Linked DNA regions of Oreochromis niloticus. The protein of the gene in region 1 interacts with the protein of each later gene in a pairwise test. Links are inferred from orthologs where the notes say so. Each region holds a gene or a part of one and is shown in the gene's direction. Other genes may lie near its edges.

Evidence for each region.
Region 2: the proteins of anxa11a (region 1) and pdcd6 interact in binary tests that used the Homo sapiens proteins (3 or more experiments, as listed by UniProt). The link is inferred for Oreochromis niloticus from reciprocal best matches to the Homo sapiens genes ANXA11 and PDCD6.

Annotation. Positions count from the first base shown.
Region 1 is NC_031978.2:16,479,146-16,486,059, reverse strand, and holds the start of anxa11a (annexin A11a), read left to right. Parts: upstream 1-3,896; 5' UTR 3,897-4,042; intron 4,043-6,536; 5' UTR 6,537-6,538; coding exon 6,539-6,827; intron 6,828-6,914. Other genes in the region: zcchc24 (zinc finger CCHC domain-containing protein 24), read right to left, coding at 543-782. UniProt on the Homo sapiens protein: Binds specifically to calcyclin in a calcium-dependent manner. Required for midbody formation and completion of the terminal phase of cytokinesis.
Region 2 is NC_031974.2:23,973,709-23,981,267, reverse strand, and holds the start of pdcd6 (programmed cell death protein 6), read left to right. Parts: upstream 1-4,539; 5' UTR 4,540-4,680; coding exon 4,681-4,763; intron 4,764-7,559. Other genes in the region: rec8b (REC8 meiotic recombination protein b), read right to left, coding at 876-993, 1,427-1,502, 2,622-2,764, 2,961-3,029, 3,139-3,194. UniProt on the Homo sapiens protein: Calcium sensor that plays a key role in processes such as endoplasmic reticulum (ER)-Golgi vesicular transport, endosomal biogenesis or membrane repair.

The DNA of each region.
Region 1 (6,914 bases):
TTAAAACATATTTTTCCTCACCACATTAACTTTGAGCCATAACTTATAAATATGCTGAAAGCAGACCTCTTCATGTGTAATCATGTCATCTGGGGGAGGGAAATGAGCTGTGTGATATTTAGATCTTGAAAGATTGCACATTAATTTTAATTTTTCACATAAGTATTTAATCCATGAGTGGGTTAGTGACATATTTACTGAGTATTTCTGGTGTATTTTGCCCTTCTAGTATTGCAATCATATACACAGAAGCCTACACAATCGTTTTATATTATGTAAAAGACTTAGATCTGCACATAGCAATAGAGCTACATTCAAAGTAATCTCCCCAAAAATGTTTATTTCATCGGACTATTTTAGGTTTTTGTCCATATTAAAAATATCATGGCGGTTATACCAGAATAGCCCGTGTTGCAACCTGCATGCTCAAACATTTGCTGCCCAGACAAGCAACACTAACACCGGCCAACTCTCTCTAAACTCAGCCACAGTCTCACAACCTCAGACATCCCGGATTTGTACGTAGCATGCCGTCAGTTCACCTCATTTCGCTGCAGCTGGAAGAAGTTGTTGAGATAGTTGGAGTTCAGGGAAGAGCTCAAATCCGCCGCTGCGGGAGTCTTGCTGAAATTGAGATCCGGGTGGGAAGAGTTGGGTTCGGGTCTGAACGCGTCAAAGGCGCTGGTCTGGTGGGGGTCTTGTAAGGAGAGATAGACCCAGTTGAGAAGTTGAGCCGGCTGGTACACGGAGGCACTCGTGTCTATGGCAGACAGCAAGCTCATCTTTCCATTCAAATGTCCAAACTGGATTTCCACCGCTTCTTTTTTTTCTTTTTTGCTGGACTCGTCTCAAATCTTGCTTTTTTCCCGTCCCCGTCCCCAAACTGATGGCAAGTGTTCCCTTTTCTTCTTCTTCTTTCTGTAAAAGGCCCTGTCCTCCTCACGCCGGGAGCCTCGTCCCACTTAGATGTTACTCAAAAGTCATGGCGTTAACATGTCAGTATAAAAAGTTTTCCCCTGCTCCCCATGGTCCGCTATCTGCCTTTATTGCGGCGGGGCAGAGAGAAGCTCTTTGAATATGCAATGAACGCGGCTCTGCGTCACCGAGGACCAGCAGCCAATCAGCGCGTCGTTTGTTCCAGGAGTCATTCACGATACAACCGAGTAACTGCTGTATAAAGACGGTGTACATATTCTATTATTTACCTAGTTACTAATATATATGGTTTACTATTTCTCTACTCTGTGTGGAAATAGGCCTCCATGATTCTTTATGTCATTCAGCCACATTCCGAAAACACATATTAATATGCTATAAAGAAAAACCTGGATAACTTTATACCATTTAGTCCAGCGGTTAAGAAATCAATAAACTGTGCAGCTTATCAGGACTCTTTGGGGGCACACTCTGTCGAGCACGTCCCAGCTTCCAGCCAACCCGCAGATTCAAGGCAGCGGAGTATGGAGAAAACCTTAAAAACAGCTCCCTCTTGTGGCAAAAATCCCTGCATATATCCATGAATCCAGAAGATACTGGCATTCATTTCCTAGAGAGGTTATTCTGGCTCTTAAGTATGACTACTGCTTTCCAAAACCCAATTTTATCTTGTGCTTTTAAATTCACAGACTTAAATTACGTCTGCAATATGAGTCACATATATAAACTATATTAACAGATGTTTCCCATATGTGCATACATTTACAATAGAGTCATGTGAAAAGCTATTTCAGTTCTGAGGTGCATATGACACGATAATAAAACAAATAGACCTAACCAGGTTCTAAAATTAATGAAATACAACGTCAGATGAACAGTAGTACATGTGATATTACACTGTAACATTATTTCATCAAAACTAAGCCACAACACAGAAGGAGTGTGTGAAAACCTAAGTACAATCTGTGATTCAGTAGCTTGTAGAACCACCCTTAACAGCAATGAGTTGAAGTAAATGTTTTCTGTGCTACTATATCAGTCTCTCACATGTGTAGGAATTTTGGCCCACTCTTCTTTCCTTGTGTTGCTTGAGTTCATTGGAGTTTGGAAGCATTTATTTCTGCACAGCTTTCCTGCCACAGCATTTCAGTGTGGCTGAGGTCTAGATTTTCCAACACCTTGCCATTGCAGCACTTTGATTCTTTACTTTTTAAGCCATTCTGTTGTAGATTTGCTGCTGTCATTGTCCTATTGCATGACCGAGTTTCAGCCAAGCCTTAGCTTCCAGACAGATGACCTCACATTTGACTCCAGAATACTTGAGGAGCTCATGGTCGACTCAATGACAGCAAGGTGCACAGGACCTGTGGCTCCAAAACAAGCCCAAAACATCACGCCTTCACCACCAAGCTTATAGTTGGTACAAGTTGTTTGTGCTGATATGCTGTGTTTGGTTTTTGCCAAATGTGGCAGTGTACATTGTGGTAAAACATCTCCACTTTGTTCTCATCTGTGCAGACGACATTGTTCCAGGTGTTTTCAATTTGCTCCGATGCAACTTCGGAAACCTAAGCCGTGCTAATGTTTTCTTTTTAGAGACAAGAGGCCTTGTGCTGGCAAACCTTTCAAACACACCATACTTATTCAGTCTTTTTCTAAGTGTACTTTTTACATGAACTTTAACATTTAGGAGTCTGAGGCAGAGGTGGGGATGTCAAACTTATTTTACATGACGGGCCACATACAGCCCACTTTAATCTTAAGTGGGCCAGATAAGCTTATCTGCTTATCTATCACTGGTTCAACTGCACATTTAAGCTCAGAGATAACAACAGAGAAATGCTGCTGAAAAAAATGAAATCTCTCTCTCTCTCTCTCTCTCTCTCTCCCCCTCCCTCTTTGTCACATTTTTCATGTAACCCATACTTGACAATAGCATAATAAAACTGGAATAGAAAACTTAAAACATTTGGTGTGCCACCCCAATATTTTTAGTGGCCCCCATATGGCCATGTGGAGGAGCCACTGTAGGGACTATCATTATCATTATGTCCTGAAAAAAATAATTGGACATCCTCTTCCCTCCCTGAAGGACCTGTACAGCACTTGCTGTCTCACGAGGGCACGCAGCATCCTACAGGATTGCACATACCCAAGACACCGGGTGTTTAAGTGACCTCAGCAACCTGAATCTCCTGCCCAGATTCAGGTTGCCTAGGTCACAGACAAACAGACTCAAGAACAGCTTTTACAACAGGGCAATAGCCCTAATCAATGCTAACAGCTGACCTGATTGGCTACCTCCCTGGACTTTTTTGGAGGGCAATAATAATAATGTGCAAGAAACATTCATTCATTTCTTTTATTTATTTATGAAGTCATTCCTTTTTTTTTTTTGCTTATACCTTTCTTGCGCTTATCACTCCACTTTAAAGTTACTGTGTTGTGTTGTTACTGTTTGTGTTGTGTTTTGTTGTGTTTAGTTGTACCTAGTCTCGACGTGGGACAGTTTCCATTTTCATTGTACTATTGTACTAGGTATGACTGTGCAATGACAATAAAGAGTTATCTTATCTTATCTTATCTTGATAAGTAAAACTTTAGAACAGAATTGGTTGTCATGTCTTCATTTCTTTCTTTCTTTTTGGCTGTATATGTTCACAGGCCTACAGCATGGTTTCACTTCCTAATATTTGTATTTTATTTCATTTTCTCTTTTAAAAATTGCTAAAAGACTTATTACTGCCAGATACATTAACCATTACATTTTCTTTTAGCTACAAGAAAATAAAAAGAAATGTACAAAGAAAGGGGATTAACTCAGTTATACACTCAGATATTCTTACCTTCCAGGAACACATCAGTCAAACAATATACCTTTTGTGAAATAATAGCTGTCACGTTTTCCATTAAGTCACCATGGGTCACATATACGTCCAACAGTGAATTCATTTTTTTTATAGGCGTTGTCACAGAGGACGGCTATAGAGAGAGAGATGGGTGGGAACCTTCAATGGAAACTCTGCGTCCCACCCACACCACTTAAATACAACCAAGATAGTCGAAGAAATACAAGCTTCCAGGAAGAGACTGCAAGAAAACTAAAGTAAGTGCTAAAAGCGAAAACAGCTTCTTACACAGACTAAAGCGGTGCATGGTAGGTTAGTAAAGGTTATACCTGAGCTGGATCGTGGTGTCGTTTTTTTAAGGCGTTTTGCTGCTTTGACGTTTACCGAGCTGCTTGTCTTCTCGAAGCAGTCGCTAGCTGCTCTGTCAACGTTATTACAGACATACCTTTGCCTTTAGCTCAGTCGAGGAAAGCTAGAAAGTACACATGCAGGTCGTAGTTTCGTTTTTGATGCTTTATATTTTGTTATATTTATTTATAGTTAGTTAGCTTAAATGCGGGAAGCGAGCGAGCCTTCAATGGATTAGACGGATATGGCTACTCTATGTAAATACAGTTGGGAGCCAGTTTAACTTGCTAGCTCTATAAAATTATTAACACAGGCCCCAAGCATGGCATGTATTTTATAATTAGCGAGCCAAAGGTTTGTTTCCGAGGACTGTCATAGTAGATTTTTAGTACATTATAACACTGGTTACGATGTTTAACCGGTCCAAAAGTCGCCTAAGTTATAAAGCGAGTGAATCGCGGATGTTAGGATTTCCCAATATTAACAGTCACTTTTTTTAAAGACCGTAAACCCTTAAAAGAACATATATGGAGATGTATTACGTGATGTGACTCTGCTTACAATTTGGAGGGGAAACCAGTCAGATGTGTTCCCCCTGAACAACATTTAAATGTGTTTAAGACAGATTTGAAACTAAACCGTATTCACTCATGTTTGTACATGAAGACCTTAACCTTAATACTCAGCATCAGTGTTCCTGAGCTGGACATTAGCAGTAGTTTAACATAATGACGTGTACTGTGTTGTTTTTATGATGAAATATTCTACCTCTGTATTTCCCTGGGTATCTTTCTTGCCCTGTGTGCTTATTCAGATGCAGTAGCAGCTTGTTTTCATCCTATGTGCATAAAAGCAGTGAAGACTGTTCCAGTTAAGTCAACTGGAGTCAGTTTTACCACGGAATAAATGGGCCTGCTGGAGGACAAGCTTTTCATACTACGCCTAACCAAAATGAAAGTTTCCTTACCATTCCACCACTGAGCTAAAAGTATCTGTGATCACATGGCTATGGAATGAAGAGTCTGTCCCTCATTAGGTTTCCATGACCATGACCTCTACACTGCTACATTAGTAAAAGTTAATGGTGACTAGAAAAAGACTAGCTCAATGCATATTAAAGGAAGAAAGAAACGTAAAATGATTGTGCATGTCTTAGTTAACAGTGAAAGACTGTTTGGGGTCAGGGATATAAATCGGCTATAAAACCTGCAGTGTCACTAAACAAACAAGCATTATACAAATATTAGACCAGAAGCCAATAAAAGTGCATCATTGTTCAATTCAGAAAAGCAGCAAAATTAACGTACTTTACTGAGGTGTTGTAAATATTTTAAAAACTTTTATTTTATTTTTTTTGTTGTAAATGTGTGAACTTGCCTCATATAGTAATTCACACGATTTTAACATGCAGCAGCAGCAACAGTGTAACCGCACACTCCAAACCAGCAACACCAAAGCAACACATAGTTATTACCGTTTCACAGTTATAGGTTCACAGGTCAGAAGTGCATTTCAACAAAAGATTACAAACAAAAAGCATACAGATTTAAAACTTTAAATGTGGTGTTAACAACACCACAAGTTATTGCTAGTAATGCCAACTGAAGGTAAGTAAAATGTACAAGAAAAATAGATTTTGAGGGAAAACTAACTAAAAAATGAGGAAATGTACTTAGTTTTACTTTTTTTTTTTTGGAGACTTAGACGCACATTGTGAGTCAACTGTTTTCACAAAGTCTTGTGCTTTATTGTAATGCTAAATAATTAACTAATATCCAGGAATTCAAGTCTTGCCTCTGACAAAGAACCTCCACGTAACAGAAGATCCTTTCAGCTGGTCCCTTCACTACAGCTGTTAGTTTCACATGTTTGATTTGGCAGATTTTTACACTGGTTGATCGATTTAATTGGGACATTTTGCTTGTTAACTAGTGTTAAATGTGTAAACCACTACATTGTGGAAATACCATATATGTAATAATAATTATAAAAAAAAACCCTGAAAGTAATAAAAACTACAGTAATATATAAAACAGTAAAGGCAAAACTGAAAGAGCAAATTGGCTCCGGGGGGGCTAAGCAAAATTAAAGTCAAGCCAAAAACGTAACATTCATCTTCCGTTTTCTGCTCCTTGTTAGAGTAAATAATAAGACCTCATTTGAAAATGCAAAACTATAATGACTCTGTTTAGAAATCCGATGCACACTGAATCAGTTGCGTATTACTTAAAGGTGCAGTTCACATAAACGTTTGATCTTTTACTTTTTCATTTTCAACAGATGATGTACTTTTTAATGGAGGCAGCTGCACAAAATGATAATAATACTGCAGATTCTTATTATTTGTAAGAGGTTATGTTGTGTGGTAGGCATCCCTTTGACTGTTCTGTTTTATGTTTAAAGCAATGAGCTACCCTGGATACCCCCCTCAGGCGGGAGGATATCCCCCTCAGGCAGGAGGATATCCCCCGCAGGCAGGAGGATACCCACCTCAGCCTGGGGCTTACCCTCCACAACCAGGTGCTTACCCCCCACAGCCAGGAGCTTACCCTCCCCAAGCAGGAGGTTACCCCCCACAGCCAGGTGGCTATCCTTCTCAAGCTGGAGGCTACCCACCACAGGCAGGAGGATATCCACCTCAAGCTGGAGGTTACCCACCACAGGCTGGAGGATACCCACAGGCACCACCTCCAGGTAAGCCACTGTGCAGGACTGTTAAAGTCAGTGCACACTTTTGCACACTGAAGTAAAGAGAAGATTAATTTCTTTGTAAAGTTTTTA
Region 2 (7,559 bases), on another chromosome or scaffold:
CTTCATGAAATAGTAAAATCTCTTAGTTTAAACATTTGATATGTTTTCTTTGATCTATTGTGAATAAAATATGGTTTTATGAGATTTGTAAATCACTGCATTTTTCCCCCATTTTATTTCAAACCCAACTTCTTTGAAATTAGGTTTGTAAACCCCCAAAGGTTGATTCTGTTCACCTGGACGTAGCGTTTTTTAGTGCGAGAAACGTTTCGTCACTCATCCAAGTGACTTCTTCAGTCTCAGCTGACTGGAGGTTTCCCCAACCTTATAAACAGTACATTTGCACAATAACTGAAACCAGCCCACTGAATGAACCATGGGCTGTGAGGTCAGCTCCTTGATCATTAATATGCTAATTGTCATGACCATTGATCAACAAACACTGATCAAAGTCCATTTGTAAACATTACTATAAAACAATAATCCAAGCAAATGGTGCATGTGTAATTTGTGGTAACAAACAAACAAAACTGTACGAAATAACAGTAAGTTCTGCATTTCTCTGACCAGTCACAATTTCAGGACATCAGATGTTTGTCTGTGTGTTAGGATAAGGACCAAATGTCACAAATAATCTTGCATATGAAGCTCAACACTGAACTGATCTTTACAAGTCAGAAGATTTTTTTGGAAACAGGAGTTTGCCTGCATGTGTGAAATCCTGCAAACTTCTATTATTATGATTCATGGTAAATCTAATCATTATTGTAGCAGTAGCAGCTACTGCTGCCTCTCACCTGCATGCTTACGGAGCAATCACTTGCTATGACAAGCACGGTCCTTGGCGATGATGACTGCAGTCCCTCTGTAGCTTACCTGACATATTACAGAGGCATGCATGTATAATATTGGTGTATAATGGTGGCTGTATGTACCTGGGGTAATTTGTATGGGCTGGGGAGGTGTTGAGATTCCATGATACCAAAGAAGGGATCCTGCGCTCCTTCTGCCTCCTCCATCATGTACAGGATGTCAGGCATATCCAAAGCATTCCTACAGTATGATACACCAATGTTATTACTCAACATATTAAAACACTGCACACATTTTTGAATTTGCTGTTTCTAATAATATAAAATATCACTGGAATAAGACTAGAGCTCCTTCATATTGCACAAAATGGATTAATAGCAAAGTGCATAACATTACTGCTGTTCCATAATGTGGCTTATGAAACATTGATGAAGCTATTTAAAGGAAAGGGGAACCATTTGTCCACTCATTTAAACACCATATTCTCCATTTTACTGTTTATTACTCCAAACAATCTGTTTGTCATTTCATAAATATTTAACAAGCCTGTGAGCTCACACTTCCCCAAACAGCTAAAACTTCCTGACAGTTCTGCTAATTTTTTTTTCAGATGCCCCAAGAGACAAAATTTTCTTCCCCTGTGGATTAGCACACTGTGCGTGCATACACAGACCTGCCAGATTCAGCCATGTCTATAGGTACACATCTTTTACAGCGCAGCAGGCGGTCTATGGTTTGTTGAACCTCCTCTGGAAAACAGAAAAATTATGCACACGACTCTTACAAAAAAAGATGCAAGAAGAGGCATCACATGTAAGTTAACAGTGACAAATGTACTAAAGGTCACTTCAAGCTAACATGTGAATTTGACATCCTCATTGATAAAAAGTCGTAAGAGTATTTAGGTTGCCTGTACTGGCAACCTGTCCAGGATGTACCCGACCTCTCCCCCAAAGCCAGGATCGCCTCCAGCCCCACAGGACCTTCAACTGAATAAGCATATTACAAAAAATGGATGTCTGGACACATAAAAATGAGCATGGAGGATGTTTGTGTCCCATTTTACCATGACCATACCAAACTCCACTAAGCCCTGCTTAATAATACCATATAAACATCATACCCACACACTTGGAGGTTTTATTGTACTGGTGGGTGAAATTAAATGCCACTGCAGACAATGGCTGCTTTCTTGGCTTCTCCTCCTGCTGATCATCCTGCATTATGTTTCACCGTTTTCATCAACCATGACAGCAGCATGATTGCGAATCTGTCGGATGCAATATCATCGTCAGGCTGCAATTTGAGACCTGATGAATCGAGACTGTTGTGCTGTGTTTGATGATGTTGCTTTCATCAGTTCCATATTGGCTTCTAAATCACACTTATCAGTGGGAGCCGGGATGATAGCATTGTTTTGGTTTTTGCACCAAAACAGTTTTCATGATACGGAGAGAAGGTGACAAACACAATCTGTCTGATGTGTTTTGCATAAAATAAACAAGCTGGGCTTTTTTTCCCAGTTAACATCAATCATGAAAAATAATGAAGCTGCTCTGTTTTTGCTTTTGGTTTATTTGAGTTAGTGTTTTTTTTGTTGGGTTTTTTTGGTTCAATTGAAAATCATTTTGCCAACCAACTCCCTTTTTTTGCTAATCCTATATAAGCAAGCTACCATGAAATGATTCCCATTTATTTTTTAATCCATGTTAGTCATCTCCTCAGTGTTTTGTATACACTTTCAAATTTGACAACTACTGCAGTGACTCAACTTGCAGGGCAACGTGTAGGCAAAGCAGAGGAATGTCATGGCTGATCACATGATTTCAGTTTCTCTTGTTTCTGCTGTCTTTCTGTTTGTTCCTCACCAAGCAAGAAGCCACACTGCCTGTGGTAGACTACAACCACTCCATACTGCAGCTGAGAGGACAGGTACAGAGAGAACCGAGGCTTGGGCAGGCTGGGTTGTGGTGGAGGAACCTGTGCAGTCACATAGTCCAAAATCTCCCCGCTGTAAACATTCAAAATGAGACAGAGAAATCTTGATTAAATGTGCACAGTAAAAATTAGCTGCACAATTTACTGGTTAATGGAGATGTAGTTAAGTGCTAAGTTAGAACTAAGTAACCTAAACTAGTCTAAACCTTTGCTAATCTACTTTTAGCAATTTTATCAGCCTTGCTATACAAAAACGTGCACATTCATACCAGGTCCGCTTGACATTGACTCTCAGAAGCTCTCTGCGGGTCACCCTGATGCCTTTAGTGGCTGCTAACCTGAATAACAAAAGGCATTTATAAAATTTAGACATAACAGTTAGCTAGTCGGGAGGTAATGTCCATCAGGACTTCTTGCTAATGGCTTTGAAGCAACATGTAGACTCACCAAATTGTGGAAAAACATCCAGAATGTCGCTGGAGCACATTGGGGTAGTAAAACATTTTGTCTTACCTGTCAATAAAAATGGAAGAAGTTAAAGAAAAGAGGACCAAGTTTAGGAACTAGATTAAAACACCAATCTTTGCCGAAATTTGAGTCTCGGTTTCCCGCCTCAAATCATGCTCCACCAATCCGGTTTCAGATTCAGGACATTGATAGTAAACACCCATGATGCGTTCAAGTACTAAAAATAAATCCATTGCTGCATAAATAAATTTAAGATGAGTAGTTTTGTTAGATTTTACCCGTATAAAGAAAAACTAACATAGAGCCTTAATATTTTATACAGTTAAAAAGGGCATCAAATTACTCTAAAACTGATGATTAAGACTGATAGCAGTACTCAAGTACTATATGGGTTTAGGGTTTACTTGTTCCCATTTAATGTAATATTATATAACTCTGCTCCCTTTGTGAGCATATGGATTTTTTTGTTTTTATTTTTGGTTTATTTATTTCACAGCCATACTAGTTACAAACACTAAAACTTTAAATGCAAAGTATTTAAACTGACTATATTTATGGATTTTTATAATCATAATATAACTGCCTGGAGCATACCTATGTTTGTATGTTCAACAGTTCAACCAAGCACAGATGAAGTGTCATAATGCAAAATAGCACTGTAGCACATGCATGTATATTTGTATGTTCCCTATCTCTATACTTGCTAGTATCTCAAAGATATTTAAAAAATTTTATATAAAGTTTTCATAGTTACTAAACAGTATGTAAAATATAGCACCTAGACTGTAATGGCATAGCATAGGAAAGTATAGAAAGCTCAGTTTTCTTGAGTTATCATGCCATTATTTTGATAAAGATTAAAAATATAGCTTTAGAGCAAAATTATCCTCCTTCAGAGAATGGTACTTTAATTATGCTTTTGCTGCTAACATTTCTATAATTTATTAAGTAATAAGTAATGCAATATATAATCATGTAATGTTGAAAAGTTATTCCTATTCTTAGTCCTAATATGAAGACAGGCGCTCTGTGCACATTAAAATCAATATAACTGAACTGTGAGTCAGTTTTCAAATGCTTTTGTTTGACTTTTATTTCTCAGAGAATGTTGCTGATTTTCCAGGAACTTCTCTGGACTGGTTCTTGGATCCTTCCAGTTTCACCCTATTTAAAAAAAAATCCTGGAAATACTGAGTGAATTTTACACTCAGTATTAAAATAATAAAAAAATAATAATTTGACAAACTGTTGTTAGAGGTGATTTTACCAACACTTACAGCTACTTAAAAATTTAAGGTTTCTATTTTCACTTTAGCTGAAAATGAGAGGAAATTGTGATGTCACCCCCCTTTATGGGTAGTGTTGAATGATTGGCCACGCCTCTTTGCGCGAGGGAGGAAGGCGGTAACGTGAACGTCAGGGTGGTGGAGTCTGATTGAAGCTACTGAGAGCAGAAACTACAGCAGGAGGAGGAAACACGAGCTATACTTGTGCAAACCTGACAGAGAGCTCCGTGTAAAAATGGCGTACCACAGTCCGTACAGAGCCCCCCCACACATCAACGCTCCTCCGGACCAGGGTTTCCTGTGGAATATCTTCCAGAGGTAAGTGCAGGAAAGCTGGGTTGTTTCGCTGCTGTGTCTGTCTCTCACTCTGCTTCGAGGTGAAAACTGCTGTCGTGTAATAGCGCGGGAGGAAGAGGGTGAGACTGGGTGGGGGTGACACTAAATATTTCATTGAGAGCTCGCTGTTTTTGTTTGTCGTTGCTCTCATCTATTCATAACTCTTTTTCGGGACAGACTTCCCGGAGTGAAATGAGTGATTTTCAGTGTTACAGTTGAGTCTCAGTTGTGGAAGTAGTACTACACAGTGCGCAGTACACAGCCTGTAGCTGCTTTATGTCACTCAGCTGGTACTACCTTACATTACTACGCGTCTGCAGTGCCGCATAGTTGTATTGATGATGTTACATTGTGCCGAAATGAAGTCAAAGTCAGTCAGCTTGCTCAGTGAGAGTTTTCAAACGTGGGTTCAAGGACCTCCGGGAGTCCTTGAAGGGTTTCCCCTCCGCGGTTTATCCTAGCAACGGAATCACAGCTCCATTCAAAATGTTTTATTTATGTCTCCAGTGAAAACCATCTTCCACCAACACTTGAGTCTGAGGAAGTCAGAAAGAAATGATATAATATTCTAAAAAAGCTGGATATGACACACTGGATCTATTTAAAACACACTGGAGAGCTTATTTCCAATAAAAAATCATCTTATGTTGGATTTTTGGATGTTTCCTCCCCCTCCCATATTTGGACGTTAAAGTGTCAGCCACTGATAGTCATCAATTTCAGCACAGCCGGAGTCAAAAGTGTGTCAGCAGCCAAGAAGGTCATAGAGTAGTAGGCAGAGAGGGAAATGTTCATATGCCTTGGCCCCTGGCAATAGTAAGCTATAGAGTTATGTAATACTGCAGAGGATTTTTTTTCTCACATTAGGATGCTGCTGGCATTTCAAGGCTCGAAACACCCTTTAACTAATTATTTATGTATGGTGGAAAAGCTTTAAGGTATCAAATGTACACATTTTGCCTCTTTCTGAGGAGCAGCACCTTCTCGTGGCTGCATGCATCATTGTCATGTCAGGCGTTATTGTGACTATCATAAAAACATACAGTCATCTGTCACATGAGCATTCCGCTGCCTCATCTGCTGCCCCTCGGTGAATATCTGGCAGAGATATGCTGGAATTCCCTCGGTCATGTGGTCAGAGTCAATGGAGCATAGTTGACGCAGAAGGCTTTTCATTCCCTGTTACACACACACACACCTACTAACCCATGACTCACCATCCCATTGTTGGACTGCTTTTATATACATGTTTGCTATGATATGACTACATCTGAGTGGATGCGCCACGACAAGACAAGAAAAGTAGGGTATTTGACGTCTGTTTATGGAATATATTCATCTGCGTGGCTAGATGCTGAATGAGTCACTCTTTTCCTTTTGTGTGCATGCTCATGGATGGCTATGGTATGACAAAAATGTTTGAATTCCGCATTTCAAGACTCAGACTTGACTGAGTAGCTCCTACTCAATTCTCAGCTTTTAATCAAATTACACGTTGATTTAATCAAATAACTACTTGGAAGAAACAAATGTACCTGACAAAAGTTGTTACACACCCAGAGCTAACCTTAATTCTTTCTGCAACTTGCTTTATCCTTAGACTAAAAAGGTTTAAAGTAGGAAGAGTAGCAATGGAATTTTCAAGCTTGGGAGCTACAGCACCAGTGCCTTACTTTTGGACCAGTTATGTGGAAAGTAGGACGGACTTTTGTTCCGCAAGCTATATTTCAGCCCGATTGCCTAATAGGAAACAGTGAAACATGGGAAAATCTGAGCAGAATAACTGACTCAGTCATGGTGTTTTGTCCTCTTTTTTTCTTCTTTTAATATTGTCCTGCTGCTGCTTTTACATAGAAGTTCTGTATTTGACAGTGTGAATATGGAAACACCAGATGGTTAACTGCCTGCCTCTGCAGGCAAGAAGCAGTTTTAATGATGCTTTCACTTTTCACTTCTTTTTTTTTTCTTTTTTACTGTTGAGGTAACTTTGCCTGAGGCTGGGCGTGTGAGCTTGTAGGAAGAAGACAGGCGGAGCGGGGAGAAAAGAGAGCTTATACTGTACACACACATATACTTCTTTGAGATAATATCTCAGTGTTTTGTAAAGGCTGGGTACCCCCTCTGCCTCCACCAACCCAACCTATCACCACCTTCACAGTGACAAGGCTCTCATTTATGGCAGCATGCTGAGAGCGGTTCCTTCCCCAGCAAGAAGACCAGGCTAGACTGCGTGTTTGTTTTTCTTCATTTAACAGGGGAAATGCACACCGACATATAGCTGATCACCGTGCCTCGATGGCTGCAGTCATAGAGTTGCGGCCGCAGAAAAACGAGTCACAGCCGGGAGCAGAAACCCAGCACACTTTTTGTTTTTGTTGTTTTGTTTTGTTTCGTTTCGTTTTGTTTGTTTGGGGGGGGGTGTCCTCCCTCTTCTTCTCTGCTGGTATTCAAACTGTGTTTGTTGAATGAGCTCTGCGTCAACAGGTTGGGCCTGGCAGGTTGCTAAGGAACAACTGAGTCACTGGATTTTTGACTAAGCTACATTTCAAAAGTGTAAGGCCTGATATTTGTGCCAGAGTCCAACCTTATAAAGTCCCTGCATCTCAAAGAGAGACTTATGATGTGTTTTTGTCCTTTATAGTTATCTATACTATCTAAATGTTCAGCTAAAGATTTCCTCTCAGCTCTGTATGACGTCACTAAGAGCTGAGTTCCTAATTGATCCTAACATGGTGAGACTTATGACTTGATGCCTGTTTGTTTGGGTCTCTAGCTTTG